Linked DNA regions of Neurospora crassa OR74A. The protein of the gene in region 5 interacts with the protein of the main gene of each other region in a biochemical or structural test. Links are inferred from orthologs where the notes say so. Each region holds a gene or a part of one and is shown on either strand. Other genes may lie near its edges.

Evidence for each region.
Region 1: the proteins of act (region 5) and NCU08008 form a complex in vitro, tested with the Saccharomyces cerevisiae proteins (5 studies listed by BioGRID). The link is inferred for Neurospora crassa OR74A from reciprocal best matches to the Saccharomyces cerevisiae genes ACT1 and SRV2.
Region 2: the proteins of act (region 5) and NCU01440 form a complex in vitro, tested with the Saccharomyces cerevisiae proteins (3 studies listed by BioGRID). The link is inferred for Neurospora crassa OR74A from reciprocal best matches to the Saccharomyces cerevisiae genes ACT1 and MYO2.
Region 3: the proteins of act (region 5) and fim form a complex in vitro, tested with the Saccharomyces cerevisiae proteins (2 studies listed by BioGRID). The link is inferred for Neurospora crassa OR74A from reciprocal best matches to the Saccharomyces cerevisiae genes ACT1 and SAC6.
Region 4: the proteins of act (region 5) and NCU06397 form a complex in vitro, tested with the Saccharomyces cerevisiae proteins (4 studies listed by BioGRID, with this or other methods). The link is inferred for Neurospora crassa OR74A from reciprocal best matches to the Saccharomyces cerevisiae genes ACT1 and PFY1.
Region 6: the proteins of act (region 5) and NCU01587 form a complex in vitro, tested with the Saccharomyces cerevisiae proteins (12 studies listed by BioGRID, with this or other methods). The link is inferred for Neurospora crassa OR74A from reciprocal best matches to the Saccharomyces cerevisiae genes ACT1 and COF1.
Region 7: the proteins of act (region 5) and bni1 form a complex in vitro, tested with the Saccharomyces cerevisiae proteins (4 studies listed by BioGRID, with this or other methods). The link is inferred for Neurospora crassa OR74A from reciprocal best matches to the Saccharomyces cerevisiae genes ACT1 and BNI1.

What each region holds. Positions count from the first base shown.
Region 1 is NC_026504.1:3,897,113-3,901,412, reverse strand, and holds the start of NCU08008 (adenylyl cyclase-associated protein), read right to left. Parts: upstream 2,855-4,300; 5' UTR 2,585-2,854; intron 2,435-2,584; 5' UTR 2,332-2,434; coding exon 2,288-2,331; intron 2,025-2,287; coding exon 1,775-2,024; intron 1,707-1,774; coding exon 873-1,706; intron 816-872; coding exon 375-815; 3' UTR 1-374. Other genes in the region: NCU08007 (PfkB family carbohydrate kinase), read left to right, coding at 3,743-4,300. UniProt on the Saccharomyces cerevisiae protein: The N-terminal domain binds to adenylyl cyclase, thereby enabling adenylyl cyclase to be activated by upstream regulatory signals, such as Ras. The C-terminal domain is required for normal cellular morphology and growth control.
Region 2 is NC_026505.1:4,738,483-4,742,673, forward strand, and holds the start of NCU01440 (myosin-2), read right to left. Parts: upstream 2,824-4,191; 5' UTR 1,868-2,823; coding exon 1,733-1,867; intron 1,621-1,732; coding exon 1,488-1,620; intron 1,401-1,487; coding exon 1,211-1,400; intron 1,150-1,210; coding exon 1-1,149. UniProt on the Saccharomyces cerevisiae protein: Myosin heavy chain that is required for the cell cycle-regulated transport of various organelles and proteins for their segregation.
Region 3 is NC_026506.1:2,369,685-2,374,016, forward strand, and holds the start of fim (fimbrin), read right to left. Parts: upstream 2,899-4,332; 5' UTR 2,485-2,898; coding exon 2,462-2,484; intron 2,388-2,461; coding exon 2,177-2,387; intron 2,044-2,176; coding exon 363-2,043; intron 301-362; coding exon 266-300; 3' UTR 1-265. Other genes in the region: NCU03993 (hypothetical protein), read left to right, coding at 3,209-3,211, 3,264-3,461, 3,544-4,332. UniProt on the Saccharomyces cerevisiae protein: Binds to actin, and functionally associates with actin structures involved in the development and maintenance of cell polarity.
Region 4 is NC_026504.1:2,646,412-2,650,157, reverse strand, and holds NCU06397 (profilin), read right to left. Parts: upstream 2,487-3,746; 5' UTR 2,038-2,486; coding exon 2,025-2,037; intron 1,909-2,024; coding exon 1,893-1,908; intron 1,707-1,892; coding exon 1,622-1,706; intron 1,382-1,621; coding exon 1,229-1,381; intron 1,091-1,228; coding exon 956-1,090; 3' UTR 512-955; downstream 1-511. Other genes in the region: NCU06396 (Got1 family protein), read left to right, coding at 1-165. UniProt on the Saccharomyces cerevisiae protein: Binds to actin and affects the structure of the cytoskeleton. At high concentrations, profilin prevents the polymerization of actin, whereas it enhances it at low concentrations. By binding to PIP2, it inhibits the formation of IP3 and DG.
Region 5 is NC_026505.1:5,085,410-5,089,569, reverse strand, and holds act (actin, variant), read right to left. Parts: upstream 2,801-4,160; 5' UTR 2,465-2,800; coding exon 2,458-2,464; intron 2,318-2,457; coding exon 2,287-2,317; intron 2,141-2,286; coding exon 2,085-2,140; intron 1,967-2,084; coding exon 1,936-1,966; intron 1,858-1,935; coding exon 1,086-1,857; intron 1,022-1,085; coding exon 791-1,021; 3' UTR 790-790; exon of another isoform or gene 721-789; 3' UTR 323-720; downstream 1-322. Other genes in the region: NCU04174 (hypothetical protein), read left to right, coding at 1-48. UniProt on the Saccharomyces cerevisiae protein: Actins are highly conserved proteins that are involved in various types of cell motility and are ubiquitously expressed in all eukaryotic cells.
Region 6 is NC_026502.1:3,015,355-3,019,579, reverse strand, and holds NCU01587 (cofilin, variant), read right to left. Parts: upstream 2,851-4,225; 5' UTR 2,620-2,850; exon of another isoform or gene 2,391-2,619; 5' UTR 2,269-2,390; coding exon 2,266-2,268; intron 2,171-2,265; coding exon 2,160-2,170; intron 1,806-2,159; coding exon 1,619-1,805; intron 1,230-1,618; coding exon 1,107-1,229; intron 1,010-1,106; coding exon 869-1,009; 3' UTR 578-868; downstream 1-577. UniProt on the Saccharomyces cerevisiae protein: Controls reversibly actin polymerization and depolymerization in a pH-sensitive manner. It has the ability to bind G- and F-actin in a 1:1 ratio of cofilin to actin. Binding to F-actin is regulated by tropomyosin.
Region 7 is NC_026505.1:4,767,542-4,771,785, reverse strand, and holds the start of bni1 (cytokinesis protein sepA), read right to left. Parts: upstream 2,835-4,244; 5' UTR 2,288-2,834; intron 1,870-2,287; 5' UTR 1,492-1,869; coding exon 1-1,491. Other genes in the region: NCU01432 (hypothetical protein), read left to right, coding at 4,214-4,240. UniProt on the Saccharomyces cerevisiae protein: Required for the assembly of F-actin structures, such as actin cables and stress fibers. Nucleates actin filaments. Binds to the barbed end of the actin filament and acts as a leaky capper, slowing both polymerization and depolymerization.

The DNA.
Region 1 (4,300 bases), on a different chromosome or scaffold from region 5:
TGGGTCATAGATATGGATGAGAAAAGTACTACGGCGGAAATGGTCTAGACAGAGAGACATGCCATAAACAGCCAAGTTTTGTCATTGATAGGCAAAGGTGTTCGGCGTTTTTTTCAATTGAAATAGGAACGTCATGAGATGATATGGTTCTTGAAAATGATGATGGGTACTGTCGAGTTGGCATACCTGCGGGATTGAAGATGATTTCACGCCCGCTTCAGAACATGCCATCCACGAATATTCAAATCAAGGCGTGCTATTATGTAAATTGGAGAATATGTGACAACAACGCTCACGATCAGAACCAAACGCCACCTCGCATCAAGCTACTCACTTTTTCCGACAATCTCGACGAAGCAGCGACCAAATATGAATTAACCACAGTGAGAAACGATCTCGCTGATAAGCTCCTTCTTCTCGGGATCGTAATACGAGCAGATTTGGGAAGGAAGAGGAAGCTCCTTGGAGTCGTCGTTCTCGTCCACAACCATGATATTGACGTTGTCCGTCTTGCTCTGGAACACCCTTGTCGAGATGCTCTCCTTGCTCAGCCAGATTGTGGCTTGCTCGACTTGATCCAAAAGCACAGTGGGGATCGTCTCGTTGACTTGGAGCTGGAAGTTCTTGGACCTGACAACGTCGACAGTAGAAACAAGAGTGTCCACAATAAGCGACACCTTGTCGCAGTTGTCAATGTTGACAGCGTTGGCCTTGCCCTTGACGACGATGACGACTTCATTACACCTGCTGATGAGGATGGACTGGGAAATGGAGGCCTCGATCTCAACGTTGCCAGCGGCAGCATCGTAGTTTTCCTAAAGCACTGTCAAAAACCTTGAATTTACACCACAATGTCCGGCTGGAGAACTTACAATAATCCACTTGTTGCCCTCGAGAGCCTTCTTTGCAGGTTTCTTCGCACGCATACTCTCAGGCTTGGGCGGCTTGGTTCCAGGCGGCGCAGGGCTCTTGGACCGTGCCGCTGGTCCGTCGGGAACGGTTGATCCTGCCCTGAGGGAAGGGTTCTTGTGTGTCATCTGCGACTTGTCGACCTTCTTGAGACCCTTTGTAACTGCTTCGCCCTTGTTGAGCTCAGACATGACGGAACTGAAACCACCCGGTTGGGCCGGTTCCGCCTTCTGCTCATTAATCTTGAGTACCGGAGGAGGTCCAGGAGGAGGAGGTGGCGGAGGAGGAGCTCCTCCGGACGGGGCTGGAGACGCGGCAGGTGCCGAGGGAGCGCTGCCGGATTCAAGACACTGGACGACCTCCTTGTAAGGCTTGCCGTTAGGGTTCCACACAATGCCGTTGTTGTAGTAATCCTTGGCATATTCCGACAAGTCTTTGAAGATCTGGTAGAAGGTCTTGACCCATTCTGTATGCTGGGGATCAGTGTTTTTGTTTGCCTGCATGACTCTGTTGCCCAGGTATTCGGCAGATGACAGGCTTTCATCAATGAGCTTGTCAGGCCTAGACTGAACAGTGATCCAAGCGAGGAGCATGATTCCATCGGCCACCATGCCGAGGTGGTTGAAGAAGGGAGAACCGCGGTTCTTGTCCTTGATTTCCTGAGTGGCCTGGATGGCCTCGCTGATAGGCTTGATAGCCTCCTGGAAATCGACCGAGTTCATGTCGAGCTTCTTGGACTGGGAGGCGGCGAGTAGGAACTTGCGCGTCTCGGCAAATCCCTTGAGGACACTCGCAGCCTGATAAAAATGGTCAGCTTCCCGCTCTCTGCCCACAAAATAGATCCAGAACTGTGCAGGATAGGTACCTGCTCAGCAACCAAGCCACCGATAAGATTGCTGGTCTTAACATATTTCTGAACAGTTTGGTTCAAGAAGTCGTCGAACTTTTCGACAGATTCGGGAATTGGTACTGCGGCAGCGGGTGCAGGAGTGGACACAGCAGTGGACGCGGGGGCGGAGGGGGCGGAGGAAGCCGGCTCAATGACGGCCTGGGAGCCAATAGGGGGGATGGTGGACGAAGCCATATCCTCCAGACGGAGGGTGGCCGCCTCAAGTCTGCGCAAGTACTTAGCAACGTGCCTTGACCATTATTCACTCGTAGTCTTTTTTTTTTCTTTCTCGCTTTGCGCCGATTTTTCTGGCGCATTCCTTGCTCGGGGACTGGATCTTCGTCGTCCTAGCCTCAGAGCGGCTCCCATGGAATCGGCATGGCTAAGAATGCGCCAGGTAAAATAATGGGCAATGCGGGTGTTGTAGAAGAAAGCAACTATTCGTAGGTGTGGCGATATCAAGTTGCGGTAAAGAAAGCTGAAGCGTACCTCTTGATCAAGGTGACCAAGTTGTGCATATTGTTGGTCGCCATTGTGATTATGATGGTCCCTTAGGCGGGACTTTGGAAACGTAGTAGGCTTCGCGGTCGAGTAATATAGAAGTTGGAAGGAGCAAGGTGTACTCTGTGATTAGAACTGTCGGTGCCAGCTTGCGGTATTAGCGATCCTGCCTTGATGATGATGTGAAGAGAGTGCCGTGGGCAGACCCGGATACCTCCGGTGGAAGAGAGCTCGTTGAAACAGAGGGAAGGTATCGTCCTGAATATCTTGATGAGAAGCACTTACCCTTTTCGCTGAACCGTATAATTTACAAGGAATAAGAAGATATCGCTAGATGGAGAAAGAGGAAGAAAAGAGTCCCGAAACTTGCACAAGGAGGAGGTCTGGGAAGGTGTAGTTAGGTGCCCCAAGATCTGCTGTGCTGGAACATGGGATGTCTGAAGGTTGACGGTCCGGGCTGACAACTCGTCGATTGGAACCCCTCGTCACACAACCCCTACCTAGCACGGGCATCTGCCCCTGGCGCCTGCCATGCTTGTACACTGCCTACGGGCGGCCACAGTGTACGGGGCACACCTTCTGTAGACGCAGCACGCTAGGTGATGAGCTGCTTCCCCACGATAGCTTCATAGTGGGGTCATGGTGGGTCGTCTCATCCATCGTTTAAAATTACGCGTTTCGGGACATCCTCCAACAAGAAAGAACGAACACCTTGCTGGCCGCTCTCACGACTCTGCAGTAGACTAGAGTGCACGGCCACCAAAAGCCCGCTGGGCGTACAGGCACCATCCACGCCTCATATCCACATATGAGTTACCACCTCACCAAGCATACCTAAACAAAAACAACAAGTCACATCGTGCTACTGCAACCGGATCAACAACAAGCACTCTCCCCGTTCAGAAGCTCGCTGCTTGTTTAGCTGTGTATATACGAGAACGGTAATGCTGATGCTGATGCTGAAGACTTGACATGAGTAGGTCTGCACAAGCAGTCATTTAAAGTGTCGAGGATCGAGATGACAGGATCGATCCCATAACCTCCCGTCCCGCGGGTCCGTCCCCTTTCTCCATTCCTACGCCTCGCAGTAAAAAACCTACCCCAGATAGCTGATTCTAGCTAATAAGACGTTGAGTTATCAAAACATCAGGCTCTTTATGCTTTATGCCGCCTGATGGTCAGGCAGAAATAGCAGACTAGCAATAGAGGTAGCCTAGCCAGTAGCCACATCAATATCTACATACGCGTCCATCTTTCCAAATAGGTCTTCATCCCTCCATCGGTGTCTCACTCTCATAACCCCTTTCAGTGTCACTCACTTACATAGCCCACACCCACCTGTTGTCTATCATCGCCTGGCCGTTGCCGCGTCGTACTCGCATACACTCCTTTCAAGCGTCCACTACAATTGATTGATCCTACACAGTCACCACAGAGAACAATATGACAGACAATAACGGCAACCCGGAAGTGCCCGGCCAAAGTCCAGACGATGTTGACAAAGCCTCGGATGAGAGCTCAGAATGGCAAGATATCAACGACACTCCCTCAATAATAGACTTTGTCACCCTCGGCATGTTCATCATCGGTAAGTGCCCAGGAACCACAATCAGGCACCAACTAAGCACCCCATCAGATGAAATCGAATACCCTCCGCCCCGTCCTCCATCAACCAACGTCTTAGGAGGCGCCGGCTCCTACTCCGCCCTCGGCGCCCGCCTCTTCTCTCCAGCTCCGGACCTCTCCCGCACCGTGGGCTGGATCGTCGATCAGGGCTCCGACTTCCCCCAGGCCATCACCGATCTCATCACCGGCTGGTCCACCTCGGCCGTCTTCCGCCATGACCCCACCCGGCTCACCACCCGCGGCTGGAACGGCTACGTCGGCTCCTCGGAGCGCCGCGAATTCAAGTACACCACTCCCAAGAAACGACTGACGGCCGCCGACCTGGTCGGAACCCCCTTGTTGAAGGCTAAAGCCGTGCACATGGTCTGCAGTCCC
Region 2 (4,191 bases), about 350 kb from region 5:
ATGGGTAGTCTTGATTCCTCGTCTAGAAGGGACAGGATACCAAGTTTGCCCTCGATAAGGTCAATGCAGGGCTGGTTGTCAGCAAAGTCGATGAAGGTCCAGTCAATCTGCTCCCTAAGGTATTCCTCCTGCTCCAACTTGAACACATGCTGGTTGAACTCCTGCTGAAGCTTCTCGTTGGCGTAGTTGATACAGAACTGCTCGAAGGAGTTCTTGGCGAAATGCTCGAAGCCGTAAATATCCAGAACACCAATGAAGGAAGTGACTCTGGTGAGGACCTCCTCCGAAGCAAGACTGTGATTGATGATTTCGACGAGCCAGTCGAACAGACTCGAGTAGATGTACTTGGCAACGGAATCTCGGACAACGATAGCCTGCGCCTGGGTCAAGTTGGACACGATCTTTTCACCACGAGTGACCAATTGCTTCTTGACGATCCACTTGGCAAATTCTGGAGCATCGATGCCGAGAATCTCGCAGGCCTTAACCAGCGATGGTTCGGAAGGATCGAGGGAACTGTCGTTTCGCATGGCACCAATCTTGACATTACCCAAGTGGAGGAGACCAGCCAGAAGCTTGAAGATCTCCGTTTGCTTGCCCTCGTCAACACCGATGGTCTTCAAAGATGCCTTGGTCGCATTGAACTCGGCCTTGTCATCGACGCCATCGATCGTGGGGGTGTTACCCTGGTTGAGGTACTCGAACTGTTCAACGGGAAGCAAGCCCAATTCCTGGCGCTCCTTGTCCGTCACACCAGCAACCAGCTGGTAGAAAATATGGTAGTTTCTTTCCTTCAACGGTTGGAAAACCAACCTCGATCGCTCGAGAAGGTAGGTCCTGATCTTGGCACCGATAATGTTGGTGGCCTTGTCAAACATGATTTCGATGTATTTACCGAATCGCGAGGAGTTGTCGTTTCTTGTCGTCTTTGCGTTACCAAAAGCTTCCATAATCGGGTTCGTAGCCAAGATAGCCTCCTCGGTCTGGCTCATAGACTCGTGGCCACCCTTCTTTACTCGTGATCCGGGGCTGTCGGGCGATTCTCTTGTCGCGAAGTATCTCATAATGTACTTGGCACTGACAGTCTTACCGGCACCGGACTCACCAGACACGACAATGGTCTGGTTCTTGCCATCGCGCAACATGTCCCTATTGTTATGTCAGCGATTACAAGTCAACATGAATCGTCAAATTGGCAAAGAGCCCATACATGAACGCTTCCTCAGCAATGGCGAAAAGATGGGGAGCTTGGGTTGCTCTTTGCTTCCCGGCATAGACTTGAACCATGCCTGGGACATAAAGAGAGTCAACCCGCGCGAACGGGTTTGTAGCTATTAGAACAATACCCGAGTATGTGTAGATTTCCTTCTGGGCATATCGAAGGCGGATAGCCTGAAGCACTAAGCACAGCACATGCTATCAGCATCACGTTCTCGGAGTGCGCCCGATGGCGGGGCGAGTCAGCGCAAAGGTGTGTGTATATTTACCAGCAGGCTCGTTCAGATGTGATAGGTTCGTCAAGTCATCACTGGCTTCGAGCATTGTTGGGTTCATCAAGGGCGGTAGCGACTCATGGCCGCCTGACTGGAGGGCCTCGAGGGAGACCTCCACGGTCTTAGTCTGCAGGCAGTAACACATGTTAGCATCTTGAAGCGCACCAGCCCGCAAAGCACGTAAACCAAAGCACAAAAGTCGGAATATGCCGAGACTTGGGAAAGCATAAGCTACCTACCTCGCCATTCTCGCACTCGAAGATAAGAGTGACCTTGTTGCCGTCTACTGTCTTCTTGACTACTTCAGAGGCAACCCAACCCTCGGTAGGATCGGGCTGCCAGGCTCGAGTGCCAACATCATAGCTCTCCGACATTGGATGCGCTTGTATCGGTGTATTCTCGAGGGAGAGAAAATCGGCGCGAACCTGCGAGTCAGGAGCAAGGGGGAAGAGATGTTGTGGTGGGATTTGGATGGCTTCAAGAAGCCAGTTCTAGCGGCGGAACGGCCAGCACGGCTAGGGGCGACGGGGGTGGATAGGGATAATGGTGGACCGTGTCTGTTATGGCGGACGCAACGACCGGAATGAAGAGCGGTCCAGGATGCTAGTTCGGTCGCGGAAGCTTGGAATCCAAGGGCCGGCGGGAGTGTGGTGCTGGCGAAGACAACATTCACGAAGGGAATGGAAGAGGGGGAAATTAGATACAAAAATAGGGATTGGACGTGGAGCAACACATTAAAGAAGTATAGAAAGATGTTGCTATCGTGCGGGCAACGGAGCCCAAGCCGACAAACAAGGTGGTCGAAGACGATGTAGGTCTAGGAGTTCGAAAGGGGGTTCGGCTCGTGTCGTCGGACCGATGGGAGTGTAGCGCGGGCTGTTCTTGGACGAAACAGCTGAAAGATGTTGTTGTTGCTTTTGTTGTTTGCTTTGCGTGCCCAAGGGAGCTAGCTGGTAGGTGTTTGGCTGACCGGGAATAGGTCAGGTCCTGTCACTGTGTGTAGGACAGGAAGGTTGTGGAATGCCGTATAAACGGGGCGGGCAGAACGGGCGGAGCGGGGACCCAACACACTGCCTTGCGGTGGGAGAACGGATTCGTCGAGCGGTCGAGTCGGGTTCTCTTAACGGTGGCAGCCTCTCTGTATAGAAGTGGCTGATGGTCGAGATAGCACCTGTGGATGAGGGAACGTCCTTGATGTAGTAGCCTGTCGGGCCGGTGTGGTCAACAACCAAGTCAAAAGTCGGGGTAGGCGAGAAGGCGGGACGACGAGACGGGATGTCGTTGAAAGTTTAGGGGTAGGCTTCCGCTTGTAGTGTAGCTGAGGTGCCCGGTGATGATAGAGCACTGGCGGGCCGTCGTGGTGGCAGGCTAACAGCCCGGCCGACGTTCACTTCCGTTGACAGGGGCCCCGTTGTTGTGGATGTTGAGGTGGTCGGTCTTTGGCGGCCACCGCCCAATTGGGTGCGTCGCTGGGCTCGTTGCATTAACACCGAAGCACGGACTCTTTCGTGGGCTTGGGGAGCTGGACTCCATGGAGCCCCTCCAATGAGCCGTAATTCCCAAATGACCTGGACAAGCAGGGCTCTCCTTAAAAGGGGGCACTAACCAACACTGCGAAGAAGATTACATACCTAGAGGTATGCTTGGGAATCCCGCGACTCTACATAAGTGGAAAGCTACATAGTACACAGACAAGGCGAAGAAGAACAATGGGTGACTGGCACCTCTAAGCAGCGTATAAGGGTTACCTTTGTCTTGTCCGGAGAGGTGTCCAGTGGAAGACGACATGATGTACAAGATGGGTCACGATGTCCAAGTCTACACTCTACCTTGAGATGTACAAATGTGTCTCTGGAGGCTCACGCCAATGGGTGAATAACCGTCAGGATATCCTATGAGGACGACCATGTTTCTCCTCCTGATCTATAGCCCTCTTGATTTGTATGGCTTCATCGTTCTCATTATGTACGGTCTTTGGTCTTCCCCTGAGTTTCTGTATTTCTCCCCGACAGCTCACCGGCGCCCCTCATCAGGGTAGCATTTCGTTTACACAACTCCCTGAAGGAACTCACGGAAGTAAGGCCCAATCTTACCAGACTCCCATGGCCAATTGTTTGCACTGGTCCGTTCGTTCGTTCATTTGTTCGTTCGATATGCCATCCAACTGGGTCCCCGTCTGGCCCGTCTGCCCGCTTGTTGACAGTTGAAATGCATTAACCTGTCCGCCTGAAAAGGAGAGAGATGGGCAAACTCAAAATGGGGCATAGTGTAAATACGTACCAATACCTCTATGGCATTGATGGGTGGACCGGGCTGAGTCTGGCACCATGACAATCAATTGCATTTGCGTTCAGTTCCTTCTTCTCTTCTTTCTGGAATCTGCAGGGGTAAAAAGAGCGCCAGCGAATGGCGGGTCGTCAAAGACTGTGGAAACTGTTGGAGACTACCTACTTACGGGCCCCACCAGGCCCCCCGTGCGGCCGGCAGCCCGAGTATCGGGGCCTGGGACTTGGGAGGAAAAAAAAAGGGGAGGGGGGGGGGGGGGGGGGGGGAGAAAGGCGGTGCTTTTGGTGGTTTGCCGCCGACTCCGCGTCGTCGCCGCCTTTTGTCTGCTCCGTGGCCGGATTGACGACGAGTGACTACTGTTACAATTCAGAGTCAACACCGTCCCTCACTCGGACGTCATCCACCGGTGTGT
Region 3 (4,332 bases), on a different chromosome or scaffold from region 5:
TGTAATGATGCAGCTGACAGCTTGGATTGTTTGGCGTCAAATGATCGAGCCTTTGGGATTCCCGGTGCAACCATCGGGTAATTGAACATTTAATGTCAAATGGCTTGGGAAGGTGAGGGGTTGGTACCAAGAGAGAATAAACATTCGTAAAACGCAATTCGCCTGTTCAACTTTTTAAGTCCATCGCCCTAACAAGGCTGTATGTTTATATTCATCTCCAATTATCAAGCAAGACCACTTCATCATTTCTCGTTATACTTGGTATCTACTGCATCTTGTCATAGGTAGCCATCAACGAACCTAGTGCATGTGTTAGCCCGGCCAGTCAAATGAAAGCCCAATAATCAAAAGGAGCAACTTACCGATAAAGGTCGTGACCAAGCGGCTGCGCACCTGGCAGATATCCTCTGGCACCAGCCAAATAGTGGCACCCATCTTTCTGGCAATGCTGATACTGAGTTTGGCATTGAGGTAAGCATCTTCATCAGTCTTGCCGGGAGTAACCAAGTCATAATCGACATAGTTGCTCTGCATGCCGTTAAGCACATCCAACAAGAAAATACCCGAGCCAATGACAGGGTCCTTGAACGAGCGGATGCTCGAGTTGCGGCCGCCCTTGCGGCTCATCTCGTTGGCCCATCTGACCATTTCCGCATCCGTAATCTCGCGCTTGCCGAGGCGTTGGGCTAGACCGTGCAGGGTAAGGGTAATGTCCTTGCGCATCAGCTGCCAGACGAGACCCAGGGTCAAGGTGCGCTGACCATCCGTGATATCGGCACCCTGGATACCAACCAGGGAAAACCCGTTCTGCTTGCCCAACTCGATCGCGTAATTGGTGTTCTCGACGGCCTTGAAACGCAGCATCTCACCGCCATGCGCGGGAGCCTTGTTGACGTGGCGCCAGTTGACGGAACCCTTGATAACCTTGTCATATGCTTGTAGAAGGACGGTACCATCGCGGAGGTCGTCGAAGAAGGACTGAACTGCGGGGTTGACGTCCAAGCTGTTGAGCCACAGGGTAAACACACGGGCCTCACGCTCGCCTTCAGCGTCAAAGTCCTCGACCTCAAGCTTCTCCTCTTCAGTGATGGGGTCAAGCGCGGGGTGTGTGTTGAAGAGGTTGGCAACGAAAGCGAGGTTGAGCTTGGGGTTACCGGCCACGAGGGAAGAGGGAGAGAGGAACTTGCGGCAACCGAGCTTGTCGGCGTTCTGAAGAACCTCCTCAGCCCGCTGATGAAGGTCGCGCGTTTGCAGAGGCGCCCTCGTGCAGCCGTAGTCGGAACCGATCTGAGCGAGGAGGACGGTGTAGTTCTCGGCATCCTTGACGTCAGAGGAGAAGTTGGCTACCCTCCTGGGCCAGTTGGCGGCCTTGAGATGGTAGTTGAACCAGCGCAGGAGAATCTGCTCAGGAGGGAGTCTGAGGAACTGCTCGAGGGTCTCGTCCTCCTCGAGAAGGCGGTAGAGCTCGGGGTGGAGCTTGATATCGATCTTGCTCAGCAAGCCCCTACGGATGATTTGCCAAATTAGACCCAGGATAAGATGCTCCCTGACCTCAATGATATCCGAGCTACCAATGTTGACGACGGAGCAGCCAATACCCTTTGCCGACTCGATAACAATGTTGTTGTTTTCTGTCATCTGGAACGCGTTGAGGGTCTTGGTCTTCTTGCCGGGCATGTTCAGTACACGCTCATCGATGGTATCGGGAACGCTGTCGTTGATGAGCTTGGCCAAAACCAAACCATCCTTGCACTCGTCGAACATCTCGAAGGTGTCGGTCGGGAAAGGCAGGCGGCTGCCGATGTCGCGGTCGCCCGCAAGGACAGCGTTGATGTGGCGCGTGAATTCGGTACGTTCATCTTCGTTGATGGTGTGGGTGATGTTAGCGTTTGAGCCTTGGACGAAGATCTTGCCGCTGCCACCGACGGAGGGCTTCGATGCGTGGCTAGGAGTAGCGCCTCCCGTCCGCTGGGCGATGACAGAAGCGGGAGTTGACGGAGCAGCAGGGGCGCTGCCGGGACCTTCGCGGAGCTTCGCGACGAGCTACAGAGTGGAAAGTGTCAGCCAGATCTTTTGATGAATGGTACCTAGTATACGGAATGCGACCTGGGTGGCCTTCAAGAAGTGAGATGTATGTGGTGGTGCTGCAACAGTGGAGAGGAAGGCTTCGACTTACCCCAACGTAATCTTCGAGTTCTACACGGCGCGAGGCATCGAGACCGACTTCTTTGAGGGCCGCGCGGACGGCATCGTAGGGCTGGCGCTCGCTGGCCTGGGTGGCCTTGATGGCAGTGGTCTCGTCAATGTACCCCTTGTCGTCTACGTCGAGCTTGCGGAAGGCATCGGCCAATCCGAAGATGTCGCTCTGCTGTAGTTGAGGGAATTTCCTAGTTCCATTAGCTGTGTTCTGCTGTTGCCCCTGTCGTCCTTGGCTTTTGAAGGCCCGTCTTCGTCTTCTTACCTCTGGATCTTGAGGACATTCATGGTTGCGGATGGTGGTGTTGAAAAAGGGGTCGGTCGGGAACCACTCGTCTTGGTGATGAATGGCGCTCGCAAAGTGATCCGGCGGGAACCGTGGGAAAGAGATAGCCCCTCTATTAACAAAAGTAATGAAGACGCCCAATGCGGTCGTCGTTTATTAGATTATTTTCCTAATGGGTGTAGTGTAGGCGGTGCTGGGCTGGGTGATGAAGATGACTGGATCTATGGATGCTCTGGCGGAAAAGCGGAGTTGGATGTTGGGTATTTATTTGTATGAGTCCCGGTTCCTGCTGCTAATGATGGATGAAGTGCCTTATTCCTGCTCCCGTTTCATGCGTCGCCGGCCGAAGATGGGAAGCGAAGCTCAAAAGAGCATGGCCATTACAGGCGGGCGTCAAGGTACGGCTGGCGGGGGCGGGGACGCCATCCATCGCAATCCCCGAGACAAGCACTAACACAGCAGGTCCCAGAAGCAGTCTGATGTAATCGCCCAGCGTCGTAATGCCGTCGCGGCCCAATCAGCCATCCCTTCAGGCAGCCAGCCCGGCGACAACCCTGCCCCTGGTGGCCTGCCTGGCTTTTTCCACTTGCATTAGGTTGGATGGGAACCGTGAACCACCGCCAGGCTTCCATCCGTTTGGGTTAGGACTGGCGGGAGTTCTGTTAAGCGTGGACCTGTGCTAGTTTCGCAAATGACACCTCGGTTCCACATGCGACTGGCTCATTCATGGTGACCCCCCTGAGCGTCAGGACCCTCGCTGTACCTCACTAACAGCAAGTAGAGAATTTTACGTTCCTTTGATTCCATTCGCATCGTCGGGATAACCTCACATCTGTCTAAGCCACCACGACCCCAAGCATTTTTCAGCAAATCATTGAGGTTCTGCAAGAATTTGCAACTTGGGATTACGACGCCTCTATACGCGCGTTGTTTCAACCAAGTAAGAAACACAAAGTCACTACCTCACTTTTTGTCAAAGGTAAGTCACCGCATCAATATCTCATACTACCCACTGTTCCTCATCCATCCATCCAGTGATCACTGAACTAATCCCCAACCAGATACTACCACCAAACCCACACCACAAGATGTCCCTCTGCAAAGCCTGCTCAGAACCTCTCTACCTCGAAGTCGACCCCGACTACGATCTAGACCAAGACTCCAACGCCTCAGACAATGAAATGGACCAGGATCATGACAACGGCGGCCCCTCCTCCTCCTCCTCCGCCGCTCACCCCCAACAAGTCCCCGACGACCTCCTCCTCCCCTGCAACTGCCACTATCACTGGCAATGCCTAATGGACCTCTCCTCTTCCGTGGCCCTCTCTCTCCGCTGTCCCTCTTGCAACACCTACCTGCCCACCAACTCTTCCTCTTCTTCCTCCTCCTCCTCCTCCTCGGGGTTCTCAGGGTCATCGAACCCGGTGCCCGTGAGCGCGACCAACCCCGTCCTCCCCACCTCCCAGGGCCTCGCCATTCTCACCCAATACCACAACGAAGGCGGTGTCCAGTCCTCCCTCGACATCCTACCTGCCCTCACTGAAGAAGCCTACCTCTCTTCTAACCCTTCGGCGCGCCCTGCACGCGCTATGCATACCATGGCTGCCGAGGGCGACTTTGCGGGTATCATCGAGCTCCTAACGGACGTGGCCGCTTCGGAAGATGAGGAAACCACCATCACCCCCAGCCAACTGCTCACCTTCCGCGACCCGTTGAACGAGGGCAAGACGGCGCTGCATCTTGCTGTGGAGAATGGGAGAGAAGAAGTGTTTTGGTTGTTGCTTTGGCTGGGAAGTGGATTGCCGACCGAAGTGTTCCCGGCTGAGGTGGTGGAGGTTGCCAACGGGGTT
Region 4 (3,746 bases), on a different chromosome or scaffold from region 5:
ATCGGCTTCTGCGTGGAGCTTTATGGGATCATGATCCTCTTTGGCGACTTCCTGGGAACGATAGCGGGTTTCGCGCGCAACATTCCTGTTATTGGACCTTATATCGGCACCGCGGTTGATCGGTCTGGTGTGGTAGCGAGGCAGAATGCGGATTTGCCTGTTTAAATGGAGGGATTGAGTGTTGAGGGGAAAAGGCGAGGGCGCCGTGGCATAGTGCAAACGTGCCGAACGAGGATATGGTCTGGGCCATGGCGCCGCTCTTCGAAAGCTCACGAATACTCGCTTTGCCGTTCGGTTGAATGACATCGGCGGGTCGGGCGCAAGACAGGTTCAGCGCTCGCGCTATGAAAGGGAGGGCAAAAGAAAGAATACGAGGCGAACGGGAACATGAACGAAGAAACGACGGTTGTGAAACGAAAAGGAGAGGGAACGCCTATGAAGGGTCTAATGCCCACGATCAACATGCACATTCACACAAACGGCGTTGGAGCGAACTTTGGGATACCCAAGTTGTAATATGAAGAGGGAAGTATCGGGCTTTCTTTTCATGCATAATTTTGAGAGGAAGAATCAAATACTATAGATGGTTCCGGGGTGGGGGGGGTGTTAAATTGTCTACAAAATCACGATACCATATAACCCCAATGATGGAACAACGGACGAGGAACGTTTTTCACCACCGGCAGCCTCGACTGACATGGAAAGGCAAATTCCGCCAAAGTGTGCTGTCAGTTCCAGAAAAAAAAAATTCCCAAGGGCCTATGCCTGTTTAAGGATATCATCCATCCAGTACACCAGTCCCCAATACTCCTTCACAGGAAAGTCTTTCGGTTTCTTTTCCGTCTTCCCATCTTTCGTCTTCCTTGTCTTCATCCCGTTTTCATTTGTTTCTTGTTCAGTGACTCTTAAGACATCCAATCATCTCATCCTTCTTCCCACTACCTCCCGACATGACTTAGTATCCGGCCTTGACGAGGTAATCGGCGAGCGCCTCGACGGTCTGTGTCGAGTTGCCGGCGACAGCGTTCTCGCCGTAGTGGGCGACGAGGATGGCCTGTGTTGTCTTGACGATGATGACGCCAGTCTTGCCCTATTTTTGGGGGGAAGAAAAACCATCAGTGAGCTTGAACATACGAGGCTTGGAAAGGGGATGCCTGGAGCAGCGCGGCCGACTAAAGTTCGGGCGTCTGAGGTTGAGACACGATAAGGGGATAGAGATAGTACGCACCTGGCGACCGTAGACGTGGCGACCCTCGATGTTGAAGGCAACGTAGCGCTGACCGGCAACGTGGAGACCCTCAGCGAAAACCTTGTCAACGTTGGAGCCCTTGCCATTATCGCCGAGGACGGCGGAGATGAACTTCATCTCATCGGGGCTCAGCTATAATACGTCACAGATTGTTAGCTTTCTCTGGAACTTTGGCGCCCGATACATCGTCGGGGGGTCCTATCACGCCATCAACCCCGCTCTCTGCTTCCCCGGTGCAAACAGCCTCCCTGACCAGGATTTCTCGGACATTGTAGATGTCCGACCGTTTATGCGCCCGAAGGAGAGACAGAGATGAGGGCAGGGAAAGGGTGCGGGCAGAAATCGGGGGGAAGTTGGCGAGACAAGGCGTACCGTGAAGCCGGGAGTCGCAGCCCAGGTGCTGTCACCAGCGGCGCTGATGATGGCGGCCTTATCGATGTGGCCGGTGCCAACAAGGCTATATGTAGGAGATTACGTCTTAGCTCATCATGTCCATGTCCGTTTCCATGTACAGGTGGTTCTCCGCATTCTTGGGGCCGAAGCCGAACAACCATCAGGCGCAGGCAATCACACCCCTAGCAGTCGATGGCGTCGCAATTCGTTGTGTTCATGGGTTCGGGTGGTTTCCAATGGTATATCGTACCTCGAGTCAACATAGGCTGTTCAAGACATTCGGGGTTAGCTTGCTTATTCTCCCAGCTTCCGTCGAGGTGGGGTTGGGCGTGAAACAGCTCCCAAGGACGGGAAGAGGGCCCAGGCGGAAACAGGCACTGACCTTGCCAGGACATTTTGTCGGGATTTGTGTGATGTTGGTGTGATGGAAAGGACTCGGTGGTTGAGTTGAAGGAGGAGTGTATCGACAGACAACGACGACGAAGAAGCTGGCTTTCGGGGAGGATTAAAAAAAGGGAAACCCAAACAAACGCGGCTCGGTTGGCAAAGGGGGGAGGGGGGCCGGTAGTCTTGGGGGGGCTAAGCGGCGGCGGAAGATAGCGGAGCGGCGACTGGATACCTCTATGGATTGGATGCGAAAAGGGGAAGCGGTGACATGACAGTGGAGGGGAACGACTCACTGGTCCCCCTGGGATTCTAGTGGGCTAAACCGGGAAGCCAGCGAAGGCCAGCTGGTGAATGGGGCCGGGTAACGGTGCCTGGTGGTTGTGGATTCCCGTTGTGTGGATTGGAAGAGAAGCTCTTGAGAGGAGCCCCCTCACCAGCCAGGCCCCTCCTCGTCACTAGGTAGGTTCAGCGAGGTGCCCCGCCAAAGGAAGTTGCCTGGACGTTGACCTCTTCGGAGTCGCGGAGGGGTTCGGCAGGTGAGACTTACTTGTACACTAGGTAGGTATGTATCTCTTTAACATACGATCGTATAAACTCAACACGGTGATTGTTAGCAGACAGCCTCTAGGACCAAGCATCCTTCCATCGACTCCCAGCGGCATTTCCAAGCTGGATCGACGGGAGCAACCGAAGTGGTCAACAGTGGGCCCCTCTTCAACAAACAGGTGGCAGCTTCTTCTTCATCCAGACTTGGAATTCTTCACCGTTCTTTTGCAGGGCCGTGGAATTCCACGACCCCATTCCGCCTCATTGACCGCCGAGACGGACAGCAAGAAGAGTTTGCTGTCGTACTCTCGACGTTTCAGTCTGACATCAACAACAGTATGAAGATATTCTGACAGACGTCCATCTTCTCTGATGCTGTGCCCCAACACCATGTTGGGTTCATTGCTCCGATGCCCCTCATTCATCTCAACAAAGAGGAGCAGCAAAGTACGCCCGTTGTCTGCATGGCGCACACATCAGTGAAGATGATGACGGGGTTGGAAAGCACAGAAAACAGTTTGCATATGACGCCAAGAGGGTCAAGCATTCGGATCCATCCCGCTGTCGTCCCAACAACAAGCGGAGCTCCTTGAATGCAGACGCATGCTCTAGCGTTCGGCTTGCCTCGTGGATGTCGGTTAGTGCACGGCGAATCAGAGATCCATTCAGCACCTCTTTCCTCTAGACCTCCATTTCATCCAACATGACAAACTTCAACAAAGAGACGACGGGACCCAGGCGCCAACAACAGGCACAAATCCCTGAGGTATAAGCTACCTATCTAAAGGTATGGTGAAAACCAAAGGTTACCTGTTCAAGCCGGCAGCTCCTATATCATACGAATCTTGGCTCAAGGGCGTGTGATGTCCAGGGTTCCAGTCAGGCAGGCTGTCGCTGACTGGAGTTGTGCATCTTTGAGACGTAGCCTCGACATTTTCGGATTCATAACCGGCCCCTTTTAACATCATTAAACCGAAGTCTTGGCGCGCTGGTGGACATCAGAATTGCTGGCCTGAGAGTCTAGCGCCTGGCTCTGACAGCATGGTAAAAGACGTACACATGTAAGATACACCGCATGCTTCGTACTTCTTCGACAGTCATTACCAAGGACAAGGCAGTCATCGCCCAAATCCGGTGCTCTCAGCACAATGAAGCCCCGCTTGGTAAGCTT
Region 5 (4,160 bases):
AAGGCTGAGAAGCGCGGAGGAAACAATGCGGATGGCGGTAGACACTAGACAGTAAGAATACCTACCCATTGTGTCAGCGAAAAGCCATCTGTGGTTTCTGCCACTGGTTTGCAATCCTGGCCATGTTTGATCATAAGGAAACGGCTGCTTGTTACTCGGTTCCTGAAGCGGTGAGGATCGCTTAGTTGGATTCGGTAGGTATGGCCGCCTCCCCTTCAAGTCAATAAGACATTACGGTGGATCCGATACCTTGACGGCTAGCAATTCCCCTTTTCTCCTTGGCTTGCACGTATCTCACGACCAACGAAAGGGCAGCTGAAGGTGCTCAGAAATACAGAACGCTGTTTGAATTTTGATGATCTCTTCATCCACGATAACCTCGAATTTCCCAGTGGTGACTAAATCTTGCTGCTAAAAGTGTAGTAAATAGAGAAAGGGTGTTGGCAAGATCAAGAAGCCCGCATACTTGACCGCGCCTATCCCACGCATTCGCAGCCGTCGCCGCCCACCCAGAAAACAGAAAAAAAAGGCCATTATTTATGTCTTCTAGTAGAGAAAAGAGACGCCAGCCCCCTTCTGACCACGCTCGCTACTTTTTGTATAAGAGAGACCTGTGCAGAATACACGCGCAATGCAGACATGCTACTTGACGCAGATAGGGGTGTTATGTCCCCAGTTGGCGCTGGCTCGTGACAGTCGTGGATTTGTCCATTTATTGAACTACATACATGGTGTAAGCCGACGACGCTCCGCTTCCAACTGCAACAACCACCTCTCAAGGGCACCCACTTTAGAAGCACTTGCGGTGCACGATCGAGGGACCGCTCTCGTCGTACTCCTGCTTGGAGATCCACATCTGCTGGAAGGTCGAGAGCGAGGCGAGAATGGAACCACCGATCCAGACGGAGTACTTGCGCTCGGGAGGAGCAATGATCTTGACCTTCATGGAAGAAGGAGCAAGAGCAGTGATCTCCTTCTGCATACGGTCGGAGAGACCAGGGTACATGGTGGTACCACCAGACTAGTGACGATTCTGTTAGCGGACCTAGCCTATACTGCCATCTCCACAGCGAACGGGGACTTACCATGACAATGTTGCCATAGAGATCCTTCCTGACGTCGACATCGCACTTCATGATGGAGTTGAAAGTGGTGACGTGGATGCCGCCAGATTCGAGACCAAGGACGGAAGGCTGGAAGAGAGCCTCAGGGGCACGGAAACGCTCGTTGCCGATGGTGATGACCTGACCGTCGGGAAGCTCGTAGGACTTCTCGAGAGAAGAGCTCTGGGCAGCGGTCTGAATCTCCTGCTCGAAGTCGAGAGCGACGTAGCAGAGCTTCTCCTTGATGTCACGAACGATTTCGCGCTCGGCGGTGGTGGAGAAGGTGTAACCACGCTCAGCGAGAATCTTCATGAGGTAGTCGGTAAGATCACGGCCAGCCATGTCAACACGGGCAATGGCGTGGGGAAGGGCGAAACCCTCGTAGATGGGGACGACGTGAGTGACACCGTCACCGGAGTCGAGGACGATACCGGTGGTACGACCGGAGGCGTAGAGAGAAAGGACGGCCTGGATGGAGACGTAGAAGGCGGGGGCGTTGAAAGTCTCGAAAACGATCTGTGTCATCTTCTCACGGTTGGACTTGGGGTTGATGGGAGCCTCGGTAAGAAGGACGGGGTGCTCCTCGGGGGCGACACGGAGCTCGTTGTAGAAGGTGTGATGCCAAATCTTCTCCATGTCGTCCCAGTTGGTAACGACACCGTGCTCGATGGGGTACCTGAGAGTAAGGATACCACGCTTGGACTGAGCCTCATCACCGACATACGAGTCCTTCTGGCCCATACCGATCATGATACTGGCATGTTGTCAGTTTTTTCTGAAAGTCTTGGAGTGTTGCGCGCACGGGACGCGGGGGGGAAAGTGGCATGCATACCCATGATGACGGGGACGACCGACGATGGAAGCTATCGCGACATGTTAGCATGGCTGGGACGTTGGGTCTTGGCGGGGAGGCAAGTAGCTCTGCTGACACGTTGCCCGTCTCAAGCAAGAGCACCTCGCGGGAATAGTGGGAACACTTACGGAAAACAGCTCTGGGGGCGTCATCACCGGCGAAACCGGCCTTGCACATACCCGAACTGGGCGGTTGTTAGCTACTGTCCATCGTCATTGTTCACCATGTAGAACGGGCTATGGGGGGGCCGCGAGGCGTCGATTGCGGGAGGAATATGACGCTTCTCCTAGGAGTCGGTGAGGCGCAGGCGAAAAGGAGGGGAAAGCTTACCCATTGTCGATGACGAGGGCGGCAACTTCTTCTGTTGGCGGGAACGCATGAATCAGCTTGTGCCCATGATAACCAGTAGAGGGAGATGGCGATGGTAGAAGTCCGATCCGCCGGCGACCAGCTCGCCAGCGCGGGCAGACTGGGCAGGAATGTGGACATGTTGTTACGTACCCTCCATTGTGATAGATTAGGTGGTGACGAAAAGTGTCGGATTAAGCAAAAGGTACAGAAGAAGAGTTATTAAATACGCTCGACGATTCCCGGATCGATGGAGCGATGATGCTTTGGCTGAGAGAGGTGTTGCCGAAGGACGTAGAGACGTTGTTTGGGCAAAAATTTGGATGTTGTTCGGTAGGCGGAAGAGTTGGAAAAGGGGAGGTGAATTTAAGGTCAGCTTTGGGAGTACGAGGCGGCGGGTGGATTGAGGGGGGTAAAGGTAGGGGAGGTAAGGGGATGGGATTGCTGTGGTGCCAGGTGCGAGGGAACGGATGGCGGACTGGGGGGGGGAGGGGAGGGGACGGTTGATTCCATTGGGGACGGGACTGGGCCGGGACTGTCTGCACTGGGCATTGCTGGCTGCTAGGTCCAGTTGGTTGGACTGGGCCTGGTCACCTCACGGCGTGGTTGTGGGACTTGGCGGCGGAGGAGGAGGAGGAGGAGGAAGGAAAGGCGGGCAAGGACGACACCGATGTCACTGAGTGGTACTGACAGTGAGTGCCCGGCCGACTTCCAGGTCCCAACAAGCATTCATTTCATCCTCGCCGGGCTGCTGCGCTGCCTGCACTCCATGTTGCCCGGTTCACGACGGGATGGATCACCACAGTAGACTACAAGTACAAACCTAGAGGTAACTGCGCTGCCTTCTTCCCAGGCCGTCCCCTCTCCCTCGCTGTTCGCTTTCCACACCCCTACTCTAAATCATCAAATCACTGGCCGCACCGCCCCCTTGCCCTCTGGCATCTTCGTGGACAAGTTGTCAAGTCGCAGTATCATGCCTGATTCGAGGTGGCTCAAGGTGGATTCCTGAGTGGCCTGCGATCCGTCTGGAAAGTGGGTAGGAGACACCGCCTAATTTTGGGAGGGCAAAGGGGATCTTCCTGCCGCCAACACACTTTGGGAGGCTTCCGCACCTCGGAGGCGACGTCTAGGTTGACATCAATGCCCGTCTGGCAACTGGCAGCCCGTTCAAGATCCCCTTTGATTTCAGTCTACCTAACTACATTGGATACCTACACGACCTGACTTGTATACTATGTAAAAGGATATCATATCGCAGCACGGCCGGGGTCGTCACCGCTGCGTGCCGTTCGACGGGTGCAGCTAGACAGACGGTTCAGTTGTACGTAGCGTAGGTAGTACCTAGTGAGCACGGTGGGAGCGTGGTGCGTGGCTGGGTCCGCCCCCGACGTTGTGTCAGCGTTCAGTCTTCTTCAACCTAATGTCCCTCCCCTGCGTCGTTGCCGTCGTACCTGGTCGCTGTCCCTTGTCGTACCCCGTTCATTACTTGTTTATTACTCCTCCTGGAGAACCGCGATTGCAATTCCAGAAGATCCAATGTCTTCTTTACCGTCTCTTCTGTTGGAGCCTGGCTGATCACGATCTCTTGGAGCTTGTCCGGATCGCAATTCCCATGGCCCCGGGGCCCGAGTGTCTTGAAGGCTCCATGGCCGCCCCGGTCCGGGATCCGACGGAGATAGATATGTAGCCTACGGTATGCACCACTTGGGTCCATACGGTACGGGGACCTCCAGCAGCGGTGTCATTTCCAAGGAAACGCCATCTCATTGGGGATGAGAACGAGGTATTGCCACAGTCCAACACCACCACCACAACCACCACCACCCACTTATTGGCGTCTGCTTCATCCCACCATC
Region 6 (4,225 bases), on a different chromosome or scaffold from region 5:
ACACTGATGAAAGGAGTGTTTTGAAGGGCCGTGAAGTGATGAAGGAGAGGTGGTCAAGATGTGAGTGGAAATTGAAGTGATAATTGTGATAACATGATGAAGTGGGTAATGAGTGAGGTGACTAATCCGATGTTCAAGCAATAAGGCTATCCACTGTAACTGAAGAGAGCTAAAGTTTCTTACAAGAGCCAACCGATGTGCGCTCCTGGGGCATGAACAGCTACAAAGTACATCTTCTACTTTGCAAACATTGGTGGTTATGGCGATGTAGTGGACACATATATGGGTATGTACAGATCAACATGTTGACGAGGTCTCACCCTGTCTTCAGATCTGCTAAGCATACATAGTAGATCGATCGGTCTATCCGCGATAGAATATACGGGGAGGAACACGTTTTTCACTCTGACGTGGGCGGGCTCTCCTAAGGTGCAACAACACAAACGAAGAATGCTGTCGACAATGTTGCAGAGCTAGACCGGGAACCGTAAGTTGGGTATCCCTTTTCTCATGCATAGACTTTACCTTGATAGCGTACCTGACATCGACATTGAAAAATGAACTCCTCGCAAGTGTAAACAGAATAGAATATCTGAAATTTCCAAACCAAAGCGGATAGTAATATGAAAAATTGAGTTGAGTAAGTGGAGGAGAGGTGGTGGTAGTCTGGATGTGGTAAATGGTATTTGGCAAGTACAAAATAAGTAGCGTGTGGTTTATATTGTCATTACAACAACGCCGACAGCGACAGCAACATAAGGGACACCATCTTTCGACTATGTTCGCAACGCGCAACAACATCAACAACAACAACTCATCTCTCTTCTCTTCTCTTCTCTCTCTGTTCTTAATACGATTATGGAGAAATCTATGCGGCAGTACCCTTGCTCACGGTCTTGATAATCTGTTCGTACTCGATGTCGTCCTGCTCGTTGGCCTGGAGCTCGACAGCGATACCGCTGAGAGAGCGCTTGAGGGCCTCCTTGGAAGAGGCGTAGACCATCTTGGACTGTTTTATTTTGGGGAGAGTCAGTTAGTTCGACTTGTTCGCTTCGGGATATATATATTTGAAAAAGAGTCGGGAGCAAACAAAAAAGGGAACGCACCTTGATGCCAGCATCATCGGGGGACCAGGCGATAAAGGTCACCTTGTTGCGGGAACCCTCGCCAGACGCAAGCTTGTACTCGAAATCGTAGACGGCATATCGGGGACCCTTGCTGATGGCGCCCTGTAACGGTTGTGATTCATTAGCGATCGGCGCTCTCCCGAAGATAATCATGTTCCTCCGTTCGATCAAGTCCACAGAACATGCCACGACAGGGGGTTGACATGTCTTGGCAGTCCCCTGTGTCTAACCGCCTTTTTGTGAAAGAACCCCTCAATTCCAAGACCCCTCCTCCCGTCCTCCCCCCCTTTTTTCCCCTTCCAGGTAGGAGAATAAACAAGACAAGTATTCGCCCGCAATAGAAAGGGACTATAAGAGTGAGGATGGGCGGGGAGGAGGTGATGGTGATATCGGGGGTCCGTAAAGTTCTCTTTCGCATTCTGGGCTGGATTGGGCTGGGAGTTGGTTGCGACACTGGCAGCAACCAGTCTCTAGGGAAAGAAAGGACCTACAGAAGCGCTCTTAGTCTGGGCGTTGACGAGCTTCTCGCGGAACTCGTCGTAGTTCTCGGTGGCGCCCTCGCTGGTGCTCTCAATGACAATCTCCTTGAAGTCGTCCGAAAGCTTGTAGATGATGTACCTGAGCTGACGGGACATCAGCTTGTCGAAAGCCCTCCGGCACTCGGGGTCGACCTGAACTCTGTAGAGTGACGCAAGCAGAGTACGTTAGCTATTCTGAGTTCTTCCATGTATTGCGTGTTGTCGATGCTGTTGTTGTTGCTGTCTTTTGCGGGTCCCGCTCCCCATGTCCCAGCGCGCTAGCTACCGGCCGCCAGATGCTACTCTGTCGCTGCTGCGTGATATAGGATGGAGGGATCTCGAGATAATGGGCTGGTTGCATCGCGGCTACGGACGGGCAACGGGCGGGCAAGGCGGCGATAGGGTAGCGTCAAGTTATTGCGGTTCCTGAATCCATCGGTGAGGATGATCCAGGGGCAGGCAAGCAAAATGGCGGGGAGGGGGGTAAGATGTAGCAAGTTCATGGAGGACTAACCCAGATTGAGACTGCGACAAGGCAAAGGAGTCAGCGACATGTTTCACAAGCAAGGTGCGGGGGGCGGCGCGCGTTAGGAAAGGGGGGGCAGGAGAGAATGATTTACCATGATGTCAAGTTGTGATGTGGTGGTTTTGTGAAAGTGTTCTTGTCAAAAAGTCGACGACGATGGGTGAACCGATCGCGAGAATGGGGGGGGCGAGCGTTATATGTGGAGAGGGGAGCCGAAAGCTGGATGGCGCGGGAAGGTTGTCAGTCAGTCGGGTCGGGTCAGCACAACAGGGACGGACAGTAGAAAAGGCAGTCGGGGGGCGGAGCGAGGCGAGGGGTAGCAACATGGAAATGGAACTCGAACTGGAAAAGGCGGCGGCAAGGGGACTGGAACTGTAAACTGGAGCACACGGCGGCAAGGCTACAACTCGGTCAAGCTAAAACCTCGCTGGCGAATATACGTACGTACAATTAGGTAGAAAGAGTGCTATGATGGGATGGTTCCGTTGTATGTAAAAGGTAGAGAGCCGGGAGTTGTCAACACGAGGAAGCAAGGACGGGGACGGGGGACGGAGACCGGGAAGAGAGCTCTTGGGAAGAGACCTGAACTTGAAGGTTGGGAGCCTGACGCGAAAGGAGCGAGGGGTTCCATTCCCGGGCACCGTCAGCCAGCACTCGGCCAGGCAGAGAGAGGCCAGGGCGCCGACGGATGCCACCATTCGTTGACCACACAACCACCTCTATTCTAAGCACCGGCCACTGGGCAGTGGATGGGCACCTCACTGCCAATCTGACCCTCTAATCTGCTCCAACACAACACCACAGCTCCAACATCAGCCCCAGTCCCCCCCTTCGCAAAGCAGGGCAGCTGCTGGCCAGTGAACAGCATTGTGGACTCCTCCGTCCCGTCCGTCACTTTGGGTGTGGGCTCCCAACAGGCGGACGGAGAGGGACGGTGCAGAGTGGATCCCGCTCGACGTCGATACCAGTGGTACGTACCCTCAAAGTGAACGACGCCGGCGTGATACCTAGTAGTGTAGTTCCAATGCCTGCTTACCTACCATCCATAGAGAGTGAAAGGGAGGGCTGCCATTGTGCGTTCATCAGCCATATAGTAAACTTGGCTCTTCTGTCACAGCGAGGTGATTTGCGTCTTTCACGAGCCCGCAAAAGCTGTGATGAACTGATGATACCGAACAGAGCAGGGGTTGGCCGGCGTGAACGACGAACAACACGGGAAGCTCTCGATGAGATTACGTTTCACCACCAGGGAAATGAGTACGTCGTCTTTTATGTACACTGGCTCTCGACAGTCACCTCCCTCAACGCGCGTTTATCATTCTCGGTAATCGAAAGGATTTGTAGCCGCCAGGCAACAGTGGGCAGTTACCTGTTGGATCTCGAAATTACAGAAGTGAAAACGGTAGAGGTAATGAAACTGGATGGAGGCTGGATGGAGGCTGGATGAAGAGGTTGAGGTGGATGTCGATGAAGGGGGGAGGGGCCACCGCCTGGAAGGAATCCTTATGAGATGGTGGGGTTGCTTGTTGTTCCGTCGACAGTCAGCTCCGTCGTCAACAGCCTAACTGCCCTGAAGCTGAGTGCTGTCTCCATGTCGACGGGAGTTCGTTGTCGTCTGCGAAACGAAAGCAGACGGTTGGCCATGTGGCTTGCACACCGAGTTGACAGCTCTGAGCCTCTGCAGCGACGGGGAGACTGCCACCTGGTAAAAGAGTCCCACTACACTTAAAACATGTTTACTTGGCGCCGTTTCAGTGTTGCACCATGCAATTTCTGTTCCACATTACCTTGAATTCGTCAACCTCTGTCAACCGGGCACCACCAAACAAATGATTGGCCCAAGCTCCCATCACATCGACGTTCATCCAATTCACAAATGCGTTTCCAAGTTCTGACAACCAACCCATCTTGATATCTCACAGCCACCATGGCAACGCAAGCTTCTCACGGACTTTTAGGCTTCAATATCAGCAAATGTCCGCATGCCAGACAATTGAGTATCAAAAGATATGCCTTCCTAGTAATACATCAGCTTCGCTGAACACTATCAACAG
Region 7 (4,244 bases), about 320 kb from region 5:
AACGACGTCCATGGCCTCGATGACCTTGACATGGCCCTTGCCTTCGCCCCAATGGCAGAGGAATGTCAGGACTTCGCTGACAAGCTTCCGGGTGGTGAGCCGAGGTGATATAAGGGAGGTGGCCAGAGCCACAATAACCTGTTGGTGAGCTAGCGCATCGTCTGCGCCAAACTTGTTGTTCATAAGAGCCTTCAAACATTTGACAATGTCATATTCTCGGTCCAAATTCTTATCCAATCTTCCATTATCCGGCTGAGCAGGTCCATAGGCAGTCTTTCGGTTCATCTTTAGCAGGACATTGGTCAAGGCGATCTGTCCCTGACAGTCGATGAAGCGCTTGACCCAGCCGATCTGCTGTGTCCGAAGGTTGACTTCGAGTCCTCCGAGCCCTTTGCTGTCCAGAGCGTTTTCCATGACCTTGCGCACATACCACTCGGGGCTGCCTTCGTCATCGGAGGATTGGGTAATATCGACATTGCTGTATTGGCCAATCTTGGCCGTCTGTCTGCGCTTCTGTTCGCCCTGCCACTCGGTGAGTCGATCCTGGTAAATCAAGGTCCATTTCTTCGCGGCGGGGTATGCGATCATCTGGCGCTTGGCCTGGTCCGGGAGGTTGTGCCATCCTCGCTTTTGCATCAGGTTTATGAACATCTGTTCAATCACATTGTCATCGTCTGGCTTGGGAAAGTTGAATCCTTCGGAGCCCTGGTGGCCGGCAGCGACCTTGGTTAACCGCTGGGTATCTCTGTCCTTATGGGCATGGGGAGAAAGGTAGGATGACTGAGACGAAGTACTAGGGAGTCCTATCCTGGATGAGCGATGGCTGGTTCCTGGGGCTTCTTGGTAGTGTCCGTCCCTACCTGAGTAGATGCTGGCATTGTCGCCCGAACTGCGGGTTGTCATGTACGAGTGGCCTCTGGAATTGTACCCGGGCAAACTGCTCTCTCTCGGTGGTCCCCATTGCTGAAACTGGGCCTGGCGGCCCGTGGAGGCCATGGTGATGTTAGCAGTAGCGAGAGTTGAGCGCGAACTTGATGCGCTGGGTGACTGCCCATTATAGGGGGAGCTTGGGCTTTGGTCGATGGTGGGATACTGGTGGAAGTCACCAGTGCCTTTGTTGAGGTGGTGCGGTACTAGCTCTCGCCTTAGGGGCATTTGGTCGGGCCTGGGAAGGTGGTCGAGGGCGACGGGGGAGCGATTGTCGGGGGAAACAGGGTCATAGGGGATCGTCGTGACGACCCCTGCCGTCATGTTGAGGCCAGATTCGGGCGTGTCGGGACGGTCCAGCGATATTACAGACGAGTCCCGGTAATGGCGCGAACTGCGTGCGGTATGGGTGCTGGCGGCGTCGTTGTCGGCGGCAAGGTATCGGCCACCCTCATCGCTTGCGTTCCGTTTGTCGGCCTTGTTCTTGCCAGTGGCTCTCGAGAAGAAGGAGGAGGCCTTGCCGCTCGAGGAGGTAGCCCTCCCATTCTTGTCGTGGGAGGACATGGCGCGGGACGGGATGTGTGAAGCGGCCGCTTCGCTACCGGCAGGGCAGTACACCAGAGTACAGTCCCAGCAGCGCAAGCTGCCTACGTGTTGTTCGGGGGTGGTTCCTCAGCAATAGGCGAGCGGGTATCGTGGGTATCTGGATCGCTGTAGAGGGGCGTCGAGGGGTGTCGAGGGGCCGGGCCGGGTCGGGTCTCGTCTCGAGGCGCGGAGTGGGTAGTTGTATAGGCAATCAATGCGCGGGTGGGTCAATTGGTAAATGAGTGCGTTGAAATGGATACGGAGCAAATGCCGTCAATGGACTCGGTGTCTGAGGCCCTGGGTGGATCGCATCATGTTCTTTGCGGGCAATAACGGTTGGTGAGCATGGCCTTCCTGCTGCATGAACCATTGGTGTTTTTAGCATGAGGTCAAGTTGAGGAGTTCGGAGGGTAGCCGTGCCCGGGCAAGCTTTTGCGCAGAGGCGGGCCTCGAGATAGGCTAGCTGCTAGCACTGCTAGCTGGTGGGATGAGCGCACTCGGGCGAGATGTGTATGGATGTGTGCTGACCCAAACTAGACTGCATCGAGACCGTGTTGGCAATACAATCCAGATCTTCGAAGGGAATGGAACTCAAGTGAAAGTCAAAGGGGTCAAGTCGCAAATGTACGAGCGGGCGCAAATATCCGTACCCGCGTCTGTCCGTGTAGCGTAGCCGGCGAAACCTGGAAATACCTAGGTAGTAGTGTAGGATGTCGTCGACTTCGACTTCTGGATCTCGTGTTGGAAGTATAGATAGAGTACTGTAGTTACCTACCTAGTGTGTAGTGTAGAGGCAGTATACTGGCGACCTGGCTGACGGCAAGGAGGGGTGATGAGTAGGTAGGTATGCGACGCTCAGCTCGCTCACTACCAAAAGTGCCAGAGTACTTAGACAGCTACGCCGAGGCTGAACTAGGAGAAGAACAAAATGCCGTTCGTTGGTCAAACCGTCAGGGCTCGTCAGGGACGGACTCTCCCGTTCGAGGGGTCTGGTGGATTTGGCCCAGGTCGTTGGCGGTACCTAACTTTGGGGTGGAAGCGCGCGCGCGCGTGGGGCACTGGAGGGCCTGTCTTGGACGGGCTTAGTTACCCACTCGGACGAAATTGAAGGTTGATTTGAGATCGGGCGGCAAATGAATGGTGGTCTTCTATGAGCGATGATTGGGAAAGAAAAGGAGCAATGGCAACGACGACGGGTGGAGCGTTGTCCGGTGGTGGCTGGCTCACCCGCGAATTATCAGCTATAGAGACAAGCTCGGGAAAAGGAGAGGCAGAGGCAGATGACCATTCAGAAGTTGCAGCGAGACTGGACTGAGGTGAAGTGGTTGAATGAGCCGAATGAGAGATCACTTGAGAGAGAGTGAGGTTGGGGTTCCTTGCCGTGTGAACGCGAACCTAACAACGCTCGGCAATCGCAGGGGCAACTCCAGCATGGCGCGGGAGGGTGCACCGTGCACTCTCTTAACAGCTGCACCTTCTGGTGGGAGACCTCAACATCACGGCAAAGGGGGTCTCGATGCGCTGAAAGCGGCTTAGCTGGGCACATCATCACCCCTGATGTCTTGAATCACAGGCGGGGAATTTGTTAGTGGTCAAGACGCAGGGACTGTCCGGGTTTCTTCCGTTCTTTCTTTTTCCCATCCACCATCCGAAACATCCATCATCTGAACCTAACCGATGGTTCATATAAGTGATGGAACCACAAATCGGCACAGAATAGGATGAAAGAAACTCAATGATAGAAACTTGTCAACTGAGCACTGAAAAGGCCGCTGGTCAACCTGAAACAATACGCATAATGGTGATAAAGGTCATCTTCGTATGCATTGGTGGCACATTCAGCGGCGCCATATATGTCCACATTACTATGTACTGCGTACATCCATACAATAGCATAAGTAGGCATAGCGGCTGGAACTATGACTTGGCTTAATCCTCCACCTTCCCAAACTGCCCCTGGTGGGGGCAGATTGATATGATGGAATCACATCGAACTGGTATTAAGATTGGCTCATGATCCCTTGCCCAATCATCACCGTTCTATCCGAGTATCATCATCCCTGCGTCTCACTATCCCAACCAAAAGAGGTCAAGATGATCTGAAGACAAAAGAATAAAAGTCCTCAAGCTAGAGGTATGAGCGAGAAACACACTTGTGGAGGTCCAAAACTGTATAGGAACAGATGTTGTTGGTTGGAAAGACATCCTCTGAGATCCCTACATGAGGCCGTCGATACCCCTGGATCATCAGGGCAGTTTGTTAGGTTTCTGCATCTCATCAACCTTGAGGGTGTCGTTCCGTTGCTATTTTGGGCCCGGGCCTCGCTCAGTCGGGCCATGCCACAGAGACCCGATACATGGAAGGGCCGGGTGAGCCCAGTCCAGGAACTCTACAGTGCACTGTTCCACAACGTCTGGGCTGTCAAGCCCAGGTGGCTACAGTATGTACTGCGCGCGCAGTTAGCGCAGGTACACCTTTCCGCACGCGATTACGTGCCGCATTTGTATATGTTACATAGGTTTGTCGCAAGCGGAACCTCCGTAGGCAACAGGGGCACTTTACGCCGCGGCCACCACTTTTGGCTTGTTCAGCCTCATAGCCTTTTATCACAACCTCAAGGCCTCTTCAGCCGAGACTATCACATTCTGTAACTGGACTCGTTGAAGTCCTTGCACGGCAGCGGGCCAGGTTGTCGTCATCATGGGCGCCGACTTTTCCGCGATCAAGGTGA